Linked DNA regions of Arabidopsis thaliana. The protein of the gene in region 3 interacts with the protein of the main gene of each other region in a pairwise test. Each region holds a gene or a part of one and is shown on either strand. Other genes may lie near its edges. The genes, in order: PRMT11, AT2G45810 and DCP5.

Region 1 (4,558 bases), on a different chromosome or scaffold from region 3:
ACGTCAATCAATACCACTAAGCAAGGAATGCATATCCATGGAATGATCTTAAGCTTACTCTTTACCGCTATGTTCAGGGTATGCCAGGAGCACCTGGCATGAAGGTATACTCTAGAGAAGATATAGAGAAGGGGAATATCGGTAATGAAGATGATGATGGCGACGATGATGAAGATGAGGAAGAAGATGATAAGTTTCCCAAGAACTTGGTACATAAAGTTTCTTTTTTCAAATGATCAAATCTTTGGGTTAAACTTTCATGAAGAAGAAGGAAACCGAGATCTTTCTTTCTTTTCTCTAAAACACTTGTATGGTTTTGTTGGTTTTTAGGGAAAAGTTTTGAAAGAGAAAGAGAGTAAAACAGAAGAATTGAAGAAGACAATCACTAAGGAGTTCAAGAAGAAAGGTGAGGCTCTGAAGAGACATGCACAGAAAGTGTCAAACCGGGTCCGGAGATGGTGGAAAGGACTTGGATCGTCTTCTTCAAAGAAACCTAAATCCGGAAAGTCTGAGCTATAGAAACAGTTTTAAACTGGTTTTGTTTAATGTACTCTTTCTTCACACTTGCTTTTTGTAGATTTCCTTTAGTTTCTATAATCTTTTGGAGAGAATATTGAAAAGTGTTGACAGACATCAGTTTTGTGATCAACAAGGAACATACACGAGATGGTTTAGAGCAAAATCATTAATTTAACTTGAGATGAAGCAAATGTTGCAATGTGAAGCAAATGGAAAGTTGTAATCTGGAGAAAAAGAAATATAAAAACTAAATCACAATATGAGAATTGTATCTTCTGAAGTTCTGCTTCTTATGAGAGAACTTTAACGCATTTTGTAGTGTTGGGTCCTTGAGATCTTGCAATGCTGGCCATTCAAAGAATAGCTTAGCTTTATGTCAATGTCTCGAGGATTCTTCTTGTTAGGAGAAACGGACATAGTTCCAGTGATTGTCTCACCCTCACATATGGTTAACACATCTTCTAGATACAGAACTGTTTGTTTCCAGTGTGTAGCTCGGGATTTCGGTCCTGCATGTGACACATATGGTTGTTCAGTGCAAGTTTCAGATCATAATGAAACAATGTGCTATGTTTAAACTTCAAACCAAGTTATTCGATAACATGCCATTTCTTTGCACCAAAAAAAAATAGAATACTCAGAGCTAGCACAAGATTGTAGAGATCTGAACCTGTTGAGAAGCCCAGCAGCTTGTGGCACATGGTAAACGATACATCAAAGTAGGCTACAAGGGCGTGGATGTAGTCATTGCGTTGTGCAACAAGCTTAAAGGGAGCTGTGAAGGAAGCATCACCAGAGGACATCTTTGAGATATCCATCGTCTGTTACAAACCCATAAGAATAATGAAATGAACATTAGTCACACAGGTAAAGAGATACTACTAATCATCATCATATGATATCTTATATACCTTTAGAAGCCTACTATCGGTGACGATTTGGTTTTGGTCGACTGTGTCAACAAGTGGTTCCATCATAGCTTTTTTCTTAATACATGACATGTCAAAACCATACACACTGTTCCAAACTGTAGCAGAACAACAAAAAAGAAATTAAAAATGCAAATCTCAACAGACATCAAGATCAATGTTGGAAAAAAAAAGACGAGAAAACGTGTCAAATCAATGCACTCACATTCGATTTTGTCTTCTTTGTACTCTGAATCCTCTATGGCTGTAAGATGCAGAGAGGCTTTGTCTGGTAGCACAACTCCACCTTCAACCTATCCATAAAAACACAGGACCAAGAAGATTTCATTTAATTGGTTTTGGTAACTAAGAATCTCATGTAACAAGGTGGAGCTGTAACTTACAAGCCATTTATCACGAGCATACAAGACACTGTCCAACATATTTTCAAACAACAAAAAGTAACCCATCCATTCCGATATAATCACATCCACTTTAGGAGTGGGAAGCTCTATCTCCTCAATCTTCCCTTTCAATACCGTAATAACTGCATCGATAAAACAAAAATCATGTTACAGAACAGAAGTTATCGATTTGAATACAACTCAACATGGATAAAAGACCTACCATCAGAAAATCCATTAGCTTTAACAATCTCCTTTGCCATGTCAGCCATTTGAGAACACTCAACCTATTAAGAAACATCCTCAATCAAATCAGTCAAAATTGAAAAAGATTCTTCTTACTTATGATTATTAAAAAAGAGACTGAAAGATTGAAGACATACAGCGTAGACATGAGCAGCTCCTGCCTTGGCACAGAACAGAGACAAAATTCCGGTTCCAGCTCCAACATCAAGAACAATTTTGTCCTTGATAAGAAACTTGTTCTGATAAATAACATTCTGATAAGTCTTTGTTCTCACAACATCCTTCAACATCTCCTGTCAGATACCATTCTCAATTCAGTCATCAGATATATACAGAAGAAAACACAATGAATTACATTAAACTTCTAGAACAAAAACTATAACAAAAAAAACTGAGCTTTGTCCTCGATACTTACTTCATGGATTCCTGCAAAAAAAAGTGGAACCAAATTCAACTCTTAGTAAGAATTCATAACCAAAGAGCACAAGGAAAAAAATAGAACTTGAAAAAAGGGAATTTACCAAAGTGAGAGTAAGAATCGAAGTAGTAATCGGCACTGGTGGTATCATCAGTTACTTCAGCGGTGTCGGCGCTCTCTCCGGCGTCGAACATGGACTCATCTTGGGGAGTTTCCTCGCCGGCAACACCAGACCCTTCAGCAACTTCGTCTTCATCAGCATCTTCAAAGCGTATCTTCGTGTTCTGATTTGGTTCAAAGCTGATGAACTCATTCTCGTCGTGGTTACTGTTCTTAGTCATCTTTTTTTCTCGGTCTCACACAAGAAGGAAGAGAGGAAAGGGTTTTTGGGGATAGAGACGAAGTCGCGAGATTAGGGTTTTATGAAGACACGAAGCTTTTAATTTGAAGTTTTTTTTTTCTCTCTTGTTAATGAATTTTATATTAGAACTAAAATTGTGCTCAAGATATTTTCTGTACCGGTTCGGTTTTCGTCGACAAGCACCAAACCGGTTAGATTTTATCTGTCCACTTGAACATTCAATCGGTTTAATATCCAACCACACAAACAAGACACTGAAACAAAATAAACTACATGTACAAGATTAGTAAAACACAGGCAATTTTTCCTTATTCCCATTAACAAAAATAAAGGTTGTATTATTGAGTTTTACTTATCAAGTTTTTAATTTCCATAAGCTGCCTAAGAGTAGCTACGATCACTTGGTCGGTGGCCAAGGCCCTCCAGCCATCACAGCTTCGATCTCCCATGTCTCTCGTGGAACATTCGTCATGTTCTTGCAGCCATTAGCAGTAACGACCTAAAAAAGAAATCACACATATACAACAAAATGAGATTATTGTATATGACATTACTCTTGAGAGTGTTTTAACTTGTAGACGTTGTAGTGAATATGAATTTGACATTACCAAATCGCTTTCGATTCTGACACCTCCGAAATTTCTGAATCTCTCTATTGTTTCACGGTTGAAGAACTTAGAGGTTGTTGCGTTTGCCATGGCTGGGAACAGCAATGCCTTGATGAAATAGCATCCTGGTTCCACCGTTATTACCTGACATAAATACGATTAGGACAATGAACAGAGACGATAAATGAGAAGAACCAAAAGCATTTCTACTTGAAACAATCGGCCCTTACCATTCCTTCAAGTAGGTCTCTTGCAGTTCGTAATGACTTCAATCCAGGTTTCTTTGGTCTCTCCACTCCCTAAAAGAATGAAAGATCAAAGCAACGGGTAAGACACAGGGACTGTGGTTTTATTTACGTGATGATACTATTGGGTTGAAAAAAGATTTGATGTACCTTTGGGTAGCCACCAGTATCGTGAGTGTCGATGCCCATGAAGTGACCTAGTCCATGAGGCATGAAAACAGCACCCAAGCGCTGTACCATCATGTCATCTACATCACTAGGAACAGAGAACGAAACCATGAGAATGAATTAACCTTTAGAGAAGAGTATTGAAATGTCTAACACAGAGAGAATTACCCAGTGAGTATGGACCCCTTCTTCAGTGACTCAAGGATGATTTTTTCAGCTAACCTGTACATTAATTTGCTTCAGTCGACAAAGAAAGCTGAATAACCATATGGAGATGTATTTCAATTTATCTCCCTAACAAGAGGATAAATCAAAATGGACCAAAGCAACTGAGTTTACGCTTACATTGTCAATCCCAATTACTGCATCTGCATGCATAGTAGAACAGAGCTATATAGCATCTCAGTAAGACTTACTTGTGCATATCCACCCAGTTTACTCCTGGCTTCATCGCAGAGATTACAGAATTATGTGCATCCAGAACAGCCTGAAAGGAAGGCAAAATCAGAGAAACTTATTCAGATGTAAAGCTTCAAGAGACTCACCAAACTCTGGATTGTGCGAAGACAAAAAATAGAGCACACATTTCTAATACATCCACGTTGCACCAATCTTGTAAGGCACTTACATTGTAGATTAGACTCTGGTCACTTGTAAATTTACCATTGACCTGCACACCAA
Region 2 (5,948 bases), on a different chromosome or scaffold from region 3:
ATACTTGCCGACTTGGAAAAAGAGAAGAAAACGTCATTCATCAAAGCATGGGAAGAGAGTGAGAAGTCAAAGGCTGAGAACAGGTAAACTTTCATCATCTTCTCACCCAAAGATTACTATTGCTTACAGATCTCTGATGATCTTGAAATGGACAGGGCACAAAAGAAGATCTCTGATGTGCATGCTTGGGAAAATAGCAAGAAAGCAGCCGTAGAAGCTCAACTTAGGAAGATCGAGGAAAAATTAGAGAAGAAAAAAGCGCAGTACGGTGAGAAAATGAAGAACAAAGTAGCTGCAATCCACAAGTTAGCAGAAGAGAAGAGAGCAATGGTTGAAGCTAAAAAAGGAGAAGAGCTTCTCAAAGCTGAAGAAATGGGTGCTAAGTATAGAGCCACTGGTGTAGTACCAAAGGCAACGTGTGGATGTTTCTAAGCCTTTATTGAATTTGTATCTTTGTAACAATTCATCTCTGTTTCTTTCTTCTTCTTTTGTTTTTGTGTGATTCAACAACTCTTTTTAGTTTTTGTTATTTGTTTGGTCGTTTGTGTCTTGTTTACATATTGGGTGATTGTGTGTAAAAGTGAAAGATTAATGGAGTATAATTGTATGAAGCATCAAATCTTGTTTTGCCTTTTGTTTCAGTTGTACGACTTCACATCTGATCTGTAACTCTTAAAATGCTAAGACACTTGACTTGACACACACCAACTATAATCCTTAAACAGTTCAGGCACAGGTGGAGATCTAAAAGCAATAAACAAGCGAATGAAGTTAAAATGTCTTCTTCGGTTTGATCTCACTACTCGGAAATTCCTCTCAAGTCTTCAAGATGAGAGAACATCAAAATGAAAAGGTGAAAAGGTTTCTAAGAACATGAAAATTAGAGATGAGAGAAGACAACTTTAAGGTTCATATCATGCAGCAGAAGAAGTCTTCAATTCAAACCAAATCAAGCCGGTACTGCTTTAAAGGTTTAGACACAATCAACCGCTTCCATCGCCATCAACCACCTATACTGTCTCTTCTTGCCTCAGTACAGTACTCTATGTGTTGCCTTCATCTCTAGAACGAGCTAGTGGCTGCCAAAGCTGAATGATTTGCCTCCTCACTACACCTAAATAACCGCAAACCAAAATCAATGGAAATTTGGTCTATGAGCAATGCAGGTTAGTTCTAATGTCAAGATGCCTAGAGAGGGATTTGTCTCACCGGTTAGTCCATCAATGCCTTGCCGGGTAGAGAATGTACACCAGGTAGAAGTTACTGACAGTAGATTGCCTTGTCGATAAGTGAAGGTATGGGCTTGATTTCAGTTCCAAGTTCTTGCTCTGTCTGATACCTGTTGGAAACCAAATAATTGAGTAAGAAAGCTATAGCATCTATGAAAAGAGAGGCCACACCAGTTGAGAAAAAGAAACACGAACATTTTGAAGCGGTCCTCATAAGTTACCAAATTCACAGCCAACCCAAGGTGTCCAAATCGTCCTGATCTGCCTACCTGGTAATATAATGAAGCAAAAACCCATTCACAATTTGAACAAATAAAACAGAGCAGGTTCTCAAGAAGATAAACCAAAATCGGCTTCCCTTAACATACCCTATGTAGATACGACTCAGAAGTCCTAGGAAAATCGAAATTTATCACCACATTCACAGCTTGAATGTCAATCCCACGTGTAAACAAATCTGCAACAGACAGACATTCCCCGTGAAACATAAACACATTTGTCAATGTTCAAGCACATGAAATACACAAAACGTACCAGTGCAAACAAGATTTCTGCATGCACCATTGCGGAAATCATGGAAAACCCTGTTCCGATGGTCTTGAACCATCTTTGCATGGATATAGAAGCATGAGTAACCAAGTTCTGTAATTTTCTTGGCCAACAGCTCAACACGATTAACAGAGTTGCAAAAGATAATGGATTGGTTTATTTGGAGCTGCAATAGATAAAACAATATTTCCTTTAAAAGATACATCAAGTAGCCAGAAAATAAAACATTGGGGTTTTAAGACTGTAACAAAACTCTGACCTTAGAGAATAGCGTGTTAAGGCAGTGCACCTTCTGTCTCTCTTCAACAAAAGCATAATATTGGGTAACACCCATAAGTGTGAGCTGATCCATGAGATTGATAATGTAAGGCTTCTTGAGATACCGATCCTTGAAAGACTTCACAGTGACAGGAAATGTAGCTGAAAACATCAAAATCTGCCGGCTCTCTGGCAAGAACTGTATCAACTCCTCTATAGAAGGTTGAAATTCTACAGACAAAAGCTTGTCGGCCTGAAAAAAGATGTTTGCGAGTTAAGACCATGAGCTCATGAGGAAAAGAAAATTATTCAATCAAAATCTGCAAATATGAAGCATAAGAGGAATCGATTTTGTTTTAACTTTAGAGAAAGTTATGTTCAGGGAAAAACTAGAAATGTCCTTTTGGGCAAAAATCCAACAATGTTTGTTAATAAGAAAAATCTAGCTCAGGGGTAATAGAATTAGGAACTCACCTCATCCATTACAAGCATGGCACAATCTTTCAAAACACACACACCCTTTTTGGCAAGATCTAATATTCTTCCAGGAGTTCCAACCAGTAAATGGACAGGTTGATACAATCGCATGATATCATCCCTCAGACTGGTACCGCCAGTGGTGACCATAACCTCAATTTTCAAATATTTGGAAAGCTCCTTGCAAACCTGGGATGTCTGAAGGGCGAGCTCTCGGGTTGGAACTAGAATTACGGCTGCATAAGAAAAAAGATCAACAAAAGTACTGAAAACTCAGTAAGAAAGTAGGGTTTCACTGGAAGTTCCACTGATCAACTAACTCACTACAGAGAAAGGTAGGAGATCTTTTAACAGAGAAAAGTTCTAAAAGGAAAGTAAAAAACCTTGAATGACATTGTTCTCTGGATCAATTTTCTCAAGGGTAGGAATGCAGAAGGCACCAGTCTTCCCAGTACCATTTTTGGCTCTAGCAAGAATATCACTACCAGTCAAAGCAATGGGAATGCTTTCTTCCTGAATAGGAGATGGTTTTTCAAAACCCTTCTCATATATTCCCCTAAGCAGATCCCTCTTCAAAAAGTAATCTTCAAATTCATTTCCTTTAGTGGCAGTCACATCCTGAAGACAAGATATGGAAAAACTAAGTTCTAAGGGAACTGCTGTCTTGTCAAAACAAAAATCATATAACTATGCAATCATTCATACCTCTGTCTGGTAACGATTATCTCGTGGTGGCAGCTTTAAGGTTGCTTTCCAGTCTTCATTACTGATAAGCATAAGAAAACACATAACCCGTTAAACATCACAACAAGAGCACCATTCATAATAACCATTCTTCCAAACGAGCACTTACTTAGAATCGCTAATAGCTTCAGATTGAACCGTTTTTTCGACCTCATCTATGTAACTTGGATCACCAGGAAGCTGAGCCCGTCGAGACCATTGTTGTTCTTGCTGCTGCTGTTGTTGTTGTTGTTGCTGCTGCAGTTGCTGTTGCTGTTGAATCTGCTGGGGATAACCTCGCTGAACGTACTGCTGAGCATCAGATTGAGACTGGAGATACTGAGGAGGCTGAGGCTGAGGTTGCTGTGGAAACGGAGTCCGTGACTGAAGGTACTGTTGAGGCTGAGGTGGATTCGGATTCCGTGACTGAAAATTAGGATCCGGACCAGGACCCGCCGCACCAATCCCCGGTGGAAATCTTCCTCTATTATTATTATTATTATTCATCTCGATCTCGAAACAGAGAACTCTAATTCTACCAAGAAATCTTCACAAGCTCACAAATCGTAAATCTAAGAAGAGGCTATAAACAACAATCTGGAGAATGTTAGGTCACACGTAGCTTCGTAAGAGATGATTGATTGATTGATTGATTGGACTCTCTCTCTCGGGGGAGGGCAAGATCGGAATATGCTAACAATTATCCACAAAACCGTTTCCGCCAGAAACTAATCGAGCTTAGCTAAGATGAATAATTTTCTTTTGTCGTCTGGTTGGTTAGTGAGAAAGTGAAAGATACATACACTCGCCGGAGTCGTTGTTGTTGTTTAGGTCGTCAAGTGGATTTTCATTACACGGACAGGCTCTTCTTCAGTTTCACTCACTCTTATCCACATTTATTTCACTAAATTAGCCTTGTACGTTCGTATAATTATGAAATAACCCCCACATTTCTTTGTATTTATCATTATTCTCTCGTAATTTTTAAAAATAGATCTTCGGATCTTCCGCAAACAGAGCGTACGGCTGAAAACGTCGATACCCTTCATTGTGCTCGGAGTCTAAAATTGTAAAATTGAAATTAGAATTTTGATGATCGACAATGATTGAATGGCTTCTCCTCTTTCGAATCTCTACCACTAGAACCAAAATTACCACAAATTCTCATTTCTTCAAGAATTTTTGATAAATAAGACAGAGAACTTGAGAGATGAAAAGAAAAAAACACAAAACCTGGTGTTTTTTCTCTCGTCGTCGTTTGGTCGTGTCCTAAGACAAGAACCGGCGAACGAAGAACAAACTTTTTGAATCTAACATCCGAAAGAAAGAGAGAAAATGTCGTTTACAGGAACATTGGATAAATGCAAGGCCTGTGACAAAACCGTGTACGTGATGGATTTGTTAACATTAGAGGGTAATACTTATCACAAATCATGTTTCAGATGCACCCATTGCAAAGGCACTCTCGTGGTATTTCTCTTTTCTTCTTCTTCCTCCATTGTTACTCTGTTTTTCGACAATGCTTCATTGTTTTAAAAGACCACATCTTTTCTTAACACAGATAAGCAATTACTCATCAATGGATGGAGTTCTTTACTGTAAGCCACACTTCGAACAGCTTTTCAAAGAATCTGGCAATTACAGCAAGAATTTTCAGGCAGGAAAGACCGAGAAGCCCAATGATCATCTGGTAATGTCTTCAAAGATTCATCATCTTGTTTTTATTTCCTCTTTTTTTTCATCTGATTTGTCTCAATTGATGGATACTGCAAGACTCGAACTCCAAGCAAGTTATCATCATTCTTCAGTGGAACACAAGACAAATGTGCGACTTGTAAGAAGACGGTTTACCCACTTGAGAAAGTAACAATGGAAGGAGAAAGTTACCACAAGACTTGCTTCAGGTGCACACACAGTGGTTGTCCTTTGACTCACTCTTCTTACGCTTCTCTTAATGGCGTCCTCTACTGTAAAGTCCACTTCAATCAGCTCTTTCTCGAGAAAGGCAGTTACAATCACGTCCATCAAGCCGCTGCTAACCACCGTCGATCCGCCTCTTCTGGTGGCGCTTCTCCTCCTTCTGATGATCACAAACCTGACGACACCGCCTCAATTCCCGAAGCAAAAGAAGATGACGCTGCCCCTGAAGCTGCAGGAGAAGAGGAGCCTGAGCCGGTCGTTGAGTCTTGAAAATGTCGTGGAGGAATGATCTTATCAGTTCTCAAGTTTGAAGTTTTTATATGCGTTTCTGTTTAATGAATATATAAATACAAATTGTTGTTGTTTCTTCTTGTAAATTCTTGTAAAGTTTTAAAGCTCTTTTTGGAGAGAATCTGTTGTAAACAAAATCTTTAACATCCAATTTTTTTTGAAGAGGATATTTTTAACCTTTAGTTTTAAAACTTTGAGGACCATGTTCTGAAACAAAAGGTTATAACAAGATATTTTATTTGATGAATCAAAATTCAAAACATACGGTATAGATAGCATTCAAACACACTTCTCTCCATTTCTTGTAATCAAGAGTTGTGAGATTTCGCCAAAGAAGAATCAAACTCTTGACACTGTGTTCTTGAGATGAGTAGTGTTTCAAGACATGAACAGAGCCTTGCATTTTGCCACTGTGTCATCTGGACTCGTAACTGCAACAACAGAAACAATCCTATTTGTCATGAAAATATCTCGCAACACAAACATACAGAGATTAAACGA
Region 3 (5,872 bases):
TTACAAGAATGAAGCCAATCACCATCAGCAGAGGATGAAGAGTCTACAAGGGTATAAAAACTTTATTAGAGAGAGAAAGAGAGAGAGAGAGAGAGATCCAATTTGATATCAACGAGGAAGGGAGTGTGATAGTTACAGAGTAGCTGAGTCCTAGATTAGGCAGGAAGAGAGCCCAGTACAGAACCGAAACTGCGACTACTAAACCGGACAGTCTCGCAAACAAGACCAATGATAGTCTTGAAGGATCTACACTTCCCATTTCTGTTTTCTCTCTTCAAAAGTTGAGTAAGTAGTGCTACTGTAGAGTACAGTGACTACAGTCTCTCAGACACTAGAGTTGCCGACAAAATGATAATTTGAGAAATAGAGAGGACATTTTATGGATCTTGTATAAAGAAGACCTCTCTATCTCTTAATAAGGCCCATTTGATTCAAGGCTGCTGGTACTGTATTGAAAGTCAAAATGTTTGACTTTTGAAATTTAGACAAGAAGCTACCAACAGTAAACAGCAACAAGCTATTGAGAGTAAATAGAAAATGCATTTCACACCAAATGTCGAGTATACAAAAGTTCAAAATAACATTGGATATAAGAAGAACGACGCTATTACCAAGTCTTAAAAACAAAGATCAGAAATCAAATTAATACACTCCAAAACCACACAAGTGGGGTTTTATAACAGAAAACATTACACGGGACTCGGTTTTTGTTTTATTGCCACATACCAAAAGCACTCAAGAGCTGAGCTCCCATTGGATTTTGAGTCTTTAGAGCCCTTTCTAGCAGAACAGTTTAGGTAGTACGATTTGATACGCCTCTCCCCTGGCCACGTCCACCATACCCGTAGCCACCGCCGCCGCCGCCACGGCCACCATAACCGCCATAACCACGCCCTCCATAACCACCACGTGAGTAACCGTTGTTTCGTCCATAACCACCACGCCCTCCTCGACCTCCTCGGAATCTCGAGAATTCACCAAATGTCTGAAATCATAGCAATACGTTCTGTTAGTCAATGGGATTCTCTTACGATTCTGGGAATTCGAGTATCTCCAGCAACGAGGGGGGACAAACTCTGTCCAGTCTGCTTGCTATTCAGAGTGTGGAAATATATAGATTGTACCTCAGTATCTAGTTTCCGTTGCTCTGAGAACCTAGGCCTTGAATTTTGGGACTCTCGGTCAATGGTGTTTGATGATAGGCTATCGAAAAAGTCATCTTTGTTGTAAACAGGCTACATCAATAAACAATGTGGATGAGACCAGAGAGGGAGAATATGGTGGCTTTACTTGATTATAAGTCTACTTCACTTACTTTGGCCTCGATCTTAGGAAGCTCAGCCTCATCTACAGTCGGGGAATCATCATCTTCATCACCATCTAAGGTAGTACTCTTCCCAAGATGACCCCATACTTCATCCTTATTGAACTTTTCGTTCATTGCTGTGAAATCAAAATCTTCAGTGAATTTCATTACTTGGTGTGATCTCTGCCAACAAGAAGAATTATTAGCATACATGGCTAAAGTTCATGAGCTATTTTAAACTGGTAGATCTTTTCCTTGGTAAAAACAAATAAATGCCGTCACATTCTACAAATGAGTGAGAAGAATAGTACCCCTGCTCCTCTTCCTCGTCCTCTTCCACGTCCCCTGTAACCATTATGATTTGGGAAAGAATGCCCGTTTGGCTGAGAAAAAAAATCAGCAATTGAGTTTAAATAATTTCACCATGAAGACTTATAAGTAGACATGCAAAGAAACCATCTTATACACCAAAGAACCCTGAGAGATTTTCATGCATCTTCAACAAAGCAAAAGAGACACAGCATGGAATATTAAAATGGGAATTACCACAGGTGCAGTTATAACAGTTACACCTTATTCCAGCTAACTAAGACACCAGCAAATTCAAGGTTCTTTATGATATTAATAAGAGACATTGAAGGATTTGGCATGTTATGTAAGTTAAAAACCTTCTGAGTTGGTCTTGCAGAGGAAGGCAATGGCAGTATTGGAGGTTGGGCTTCGGATGTAACTGGAACAGATTGTTCCAACCCAGCTGATGACGATACTTGAACCACCTCAACATCTTTATCAGCATTTGTCGAGGGTGGGGACAAAGAGACTGCAGAAGATCCAGACTGCAGCAGTTGACCAGGAGTAACCAACAAAGGTTTTGGCTTATCTTGGCTAATGGAACTAGAAACTCCCGCAACAGGAGCAGATGTTAATGGTGTTGTCTGCGGCGGAGAAATTGGACCAGTTACTACACTAGGCTTGTTAGACAGTGGAAGGCCAGTACTTGCTTCTGTGGCTCTCGTAGTAGATAGAGAAAACGAAAGCAAATTAGTATCCTGAGGTAGGGTAGGAGGAGCAGTAATAGGAGCTTTGTTTGACAGCAACGGAGGTGCCATCTCTGAAGCTAGTGAAGGAGATGGTGCTGATTGCAGTGTAGACTGCAGGCTAGACGAGAGCGTCACAGGTGGTAGACCAGGGAAAGGCAATGAACTAGGAGCTAACATTTGAGAACTGGTACTAAAAGGAAACAATGAAGAGGGTGCTTCTGGCAAGCTTGACCCCTGCAAAGATGATGACCCAGTAGGTGGAGGAGGGGTATTAAAGTTAGGATATTGCAGGGGTTGCTGAAGAGAGTTGGGCATTGGCAGCCCATGAGGGGGTCGAATCAGAGACTGCTGATGCAATTGGGGAAGGCCATTGGGAGGTGGGGTGTAGAAACCTTGCCAATACATTGGTGGTTGTGGTGACGCTCCCCATGAACCAAGATTTCCACCAGGCTGATACAAAGGCATTGCGTTTTGAAATCCCATTCCATGTTGTCCAGGTTGTCCATTATGAGAACTAATGTCAGGTAGTGACCCGCTCGCAGTAGAAGGCAAGCTACCAGATGTTGGCATCGGGCTAGGGTAGTGAGACTGCAAAACCAAGACAAGTGGAGGATGGGGTTACATCAATTGACTCCAAAATCCCAGACAATGTAATCTTACAACTTTTCTAACATTCACCTGAATTATAGCAGGGTCATTATTTATAGTAGATGCAGGAGGCTGAACTGGTGGAGAAGCTTTGACTTGCAAATCCTACCAACAACAAGAACAATCAGAGTACAAAATCGGCAGGCTACTTACATAGAAGTATTAGCATAATCCTGCTGAATACCTTGATATCAGTTCCACGGAACAATATGTACTCGTAAACTTTGTCACTTGGAGGAACTTGTGGACCATCTTTTTTCCTTCCTTCAGTTCCAAATGATCGAACTACACACAACAAAAGTTCAGGGATCAGAACCAAAATCTACCTCATCGACCACTTAAACACTGATCTTTTATGCTCAACCAATAGTTTCAAGACATCAATTACAATTTGAGAACTCAAGTAATAGACATGAGCACTAAAACAACATTCCTTTCAAATCGAGCTAAACAGTTCAGATTGGAGAAAACTTTCTTAACGATTAACGGAAGAAACCATTAGTTTCTACCAAATCCGAGAGAAAACACCACCAAAATTAACACTTAACAAATCTGGTAATCCCGAAACGGAAGTGGAAACGGATCGTACCGTTTTGAAGTCCGATACTGGATTCATCTGTATTAATATTGTAAAGGATCCCTTCGTATCTGATCTCACTCTTAGATGTCAAACTAATCAAGCTCCCAACGTAAGAATCCGCAGCGGAGCTCGATTTCGAACCCGTATTATCAGCCGCCATATCCGATCTATGTCTCTCTTCGCCGACGAAATCACAGCCAAAGAGAGAAAAAACTAAAAGACAAGAGAAGGCAAACACACACACACACACTTCGAGTTCCTTGATCTCCTTCTTCTTCTTCTTCTTCGCGAGAGAGAGAGAGAGAGAGAGAGAGAAAGCTACAGATACACAATTAGGGTTTACTCTAATTTGGGGAGATCGAGCATCTCTTTTTTATTATCCATTCCCATAAAAGCCCAATTCAGAAAATAATATCAATCTGACCATTATAGCCTAGTATGGCTCCATTGACTTCTCTCTAATCACTAACCGAAGTATGCCTCGTGTACACGCGAAGGGTTTATTTCGTAATTCACCGCCAATGGTGTGTTTAGGCGAGTAGCTACGAGCCTACTCGAGCCATTCCAATCCCACGGCTCGTGTTCTGATTGCTTACTCTGGTTAGAGTTTATTATTTTATTTTGGTAGGATGGTTAGAGCTTATTATTTACATATTAATCCTAGTATCAAATCTAGTGTTATTCATAAATTAAAAGGCCTTTTAAAAAATGAATTTTGAGAAATATTTTTGGTGATTTCACCTACATTTTTAGTTGAAAATTGGGGTTAAGAAAATCACACCTTTTTTTGTCAAGAAAATCACACCTTTTTTTCTCAAGAAAATCACACCTTTGGAGAGTTTTAATTATTAAAAAAAAAATCAGACCTACATTTCTTCCTTGTTAAATGACACTGGTTCGGCACTTTGTATATAGGTAGAGAAGTCAACTGATGCCAAGAAAATAGTGCAACCAATGATTAATGATCAGAGAAGAAGAAGACCAAAGACAGTTTAATTAAGGTGACAAAGTCAATGAAGCCTTGTTTCTTTAATGCACTTTCAGTGTTCTACAAAAACACAAACAGGCAATGACGAAATAATCAGTGTATTTGCAAACCGGGATACAATATCATCATCATCAAAGTTCAAAATCATCTGTATCGTCAAAGTATAGTGGGATCTGTTTTCCTTGTTAAGTAATATGCACATTGACCCGTCTGTATCACTGGAAGAAGGAATGTACTTCCTTTGATCTTCTGGGAGATAAGAGTGTAGGAGTTAGAACGGACTGACCCAGTGAGCCAACTTCAACATGAATTCAGGTACAAGACGCCTTCTATCTACGCTTTTACCAATCGCTTCTTGATCGTCTCCCAGAACCACTGTTACTATATCTTCAAACATCTCATCTATTCCACCTCTCATTGGATCCTAACATAGATAACCAAGTTTCTAGATCAAAATTCAGGTTCTTGTCCGACAAGACATTCATACCTCAAAAAGACCGGCCATTTTACCTGAAGAAACAAATCCGTGTGTGTTTTCCCCTCGTAAAGGATCACTTTTGCTTTGGCCCCAAGCCTCTGGAGGGTTTCCGCAAAAGATTTACTGCAAAGATAGTGTAATAGAAGTTCAATCATCATCTTAACTTTCTGATATACATAAGACAGACAAATACACACAAAAGTTAAACCATACCTTGCATCTGACGGGATGGAGTAGTCATCAGTACCATGGAATAAAATAAAAGGTGGGAGACGAGCAATGATGTGTTTGAGATTCGGGTTTTGCACTACTAATTCAGGAGAGAACTGCCTTAATGATTCCTCTCCTTCCATGATGCTGAGGAAAATCAAACGTCACACGTTAAACTGTAAAAATTTCAGGCTGCTCTACTGGCCAGGTGAGTAACGTAAGCTATACCAAGATTCCAAAAGAGAAAATGCTATACCTCAGAAAGATGGAACGGTACAGCCCCCTGCTATGGAAGTGGTCCACAAGGTTCAAAAGGTTGTATCTGTAGATCACGATCACAAAGTTTGTTAAGAATAGCCAAGCAGATGATGTGAGGCCTCATCAAAAAATTTGTTGCTTTAGTTGGGTAGAAGGCAGGAATCTACTTGCTACTTTGAGCTAATATTTGACCATTACTTCACCGTTCTACGAATTGCCTAGCATTTCTACAAAAGACCTTGGTGGCTAGATAAAAACTGGAGTTAACACATATATAAATACTCAGGCAATTAAAGAAACTTGTTTTTCTCAACTTCTTGACAGAAAAATTTACATTCCAATGTATCGTCTTATCCTTATAACT

Evidence for each region.
Region 1: the proteins of DCP5 (region 3) and PRMT11 interact in a two-hybrid assay, tested with the Arabidopsis thaliana proteins (one large-scale study listed by BioGRID).
Region 2: the proteins of DCP5 (region 3) and AT2G45810 interact in a two-hybrid assay, tested with the Arabidopsis thaliana proteins (one large-scale study listed by BioGRID).

The regions. Positions count from the first base shown.
Region 1 is NC_003075.7:14,490,017-14,494,574, reverse strand, and holds PRMT11 (arginine methyltransferase 11), read right to left. Parts: upstream 2,954-4,558; 5' UTR 2,837-2,953; coding exon 2,599-2,836; intron 2,504-2,598; coding exon 2,493-2,503; intron 2,371-2,492; coding exon 2,215-2,370; intron 2,119-2,214; coding exon 2,055-2,118; intron 1,975-2,054; coding exon 1,832-1,974; intron 1,742-1,831; coding exon 1,654-1,741; intron 1,547-1,653; coding exon 1,431-1,546; intron 1,341-1,430; coding exon 1,190-1,340; intron 1,029-1,189; coding exon 823-1,028; 3' UTR 574-822; downstream 1-573. Other genes in the region: AT4G29520 (nucleophosmin), read left to right, coding at 78-209, 331-519; AT4G29490 (Metallopeptidase M24 family protein), read right to left, coding at 3,254-3,355, 3,465-3,608, 3,695-3,763, 3,860-3,965, 4,046-4,099, 4,294-4,364, 4,506-4,547. UniProt on the Arabidopsis thaliana protein: Methylates (mono and asymmetric dimethylation) the guanidino nitrogens of arginyl residues present in a glycine and arginine-rich domain. Type I arginine methyltransferase active on both histones and non-histone proteins.
Region 2 is NC_003071.7:18,857,631-18,863,578, reverse strand, and holds AT2G45810 (DEA(D/H)-box RNA helicase family protein), read right to left. Parts: upstream 4,108-5,948; 5' UTR 3,744-4,107; coding exon 3,367-3,743; intron 3,280-3,366; coding exon 3,219-3,279; intron 3,132-3,218; coding exon 2,897-3,131; intron 2,750-2,896; coding exon 2,511-2,749; intron 2,290-2,510; coding exon 2,038-2,289; intron 1,945-2,037; coding exon 1,764-1,944; intron 1,687-1,763; coding exon 1,598-1,686; intron 1,499-1,597; coding exon 1,425-1,498; intron 1,340-1,424; coding exon 1,261-1,339; 3' UTR 1,210-1,260; intron 1,115-1,209; 3' UTR 609-1,114; downstream 1-608. Other genes in the region: AT2G45820 (Remorin family protein), read left to right, coding at 1-83, 156-432; PLIM2a (GATA type zinc finger transcription factor family protein), read left to right, coding at 4,572-4,706, 4,798-4,926, 5,010-5,426; PMM (phosphomannomutase), read right to left, coding at 5,826-5,878. UniProt on the Arabidopsis thaliana protein: ATP-dependent RNA helicase involved in mRNA turnover, and more specifically in mRNA decapping.
Region 3 is NC_003070.9:9,023,823-9,029,694, forward strand, and holds DCP5 (decapping 5), read right to left. Parts: upstream 4,134-5,872; 5' UTR 3,735-4,133; coding exon 3,584-3,734; intron 3,280-3,583; coding exon 3,179-3,279; intron 3,100-3,178; coding exon 3,025-3,099; intron 2,935-3,024; coding exon 1,975-2,934; intron 1,803-1,974; coding exon of another isoform or gene 1,783-1,802; intron 1,690-1,782; coding exon 1,618-1,689; intron 1,490-1,617; coding exon 1,316-1,489; intron 1,236-1,315; coding exon 1,125-1,235; intron 986-1,124; coding exon 794-985; 3' UTR 519-793; downstream 1-518. Other genes in the region: AT1G26100 (Cytochrome b561/ferric reductase transmembrane protein family), read right to left, coding at 1-43, 137-259; ICME-LIKE1 (alpha/beta-Hydrolases superfamily protein), read right to left, coding at 4,834-4,986, 5,073-5,163, 5,254-5,397, 5,507-5,572. UniProt on the Arabidopsis thaliana protein: As a component of the decapping complex, involved in the degradation of mRNAs. Promotes P-body formation. Translational repressor.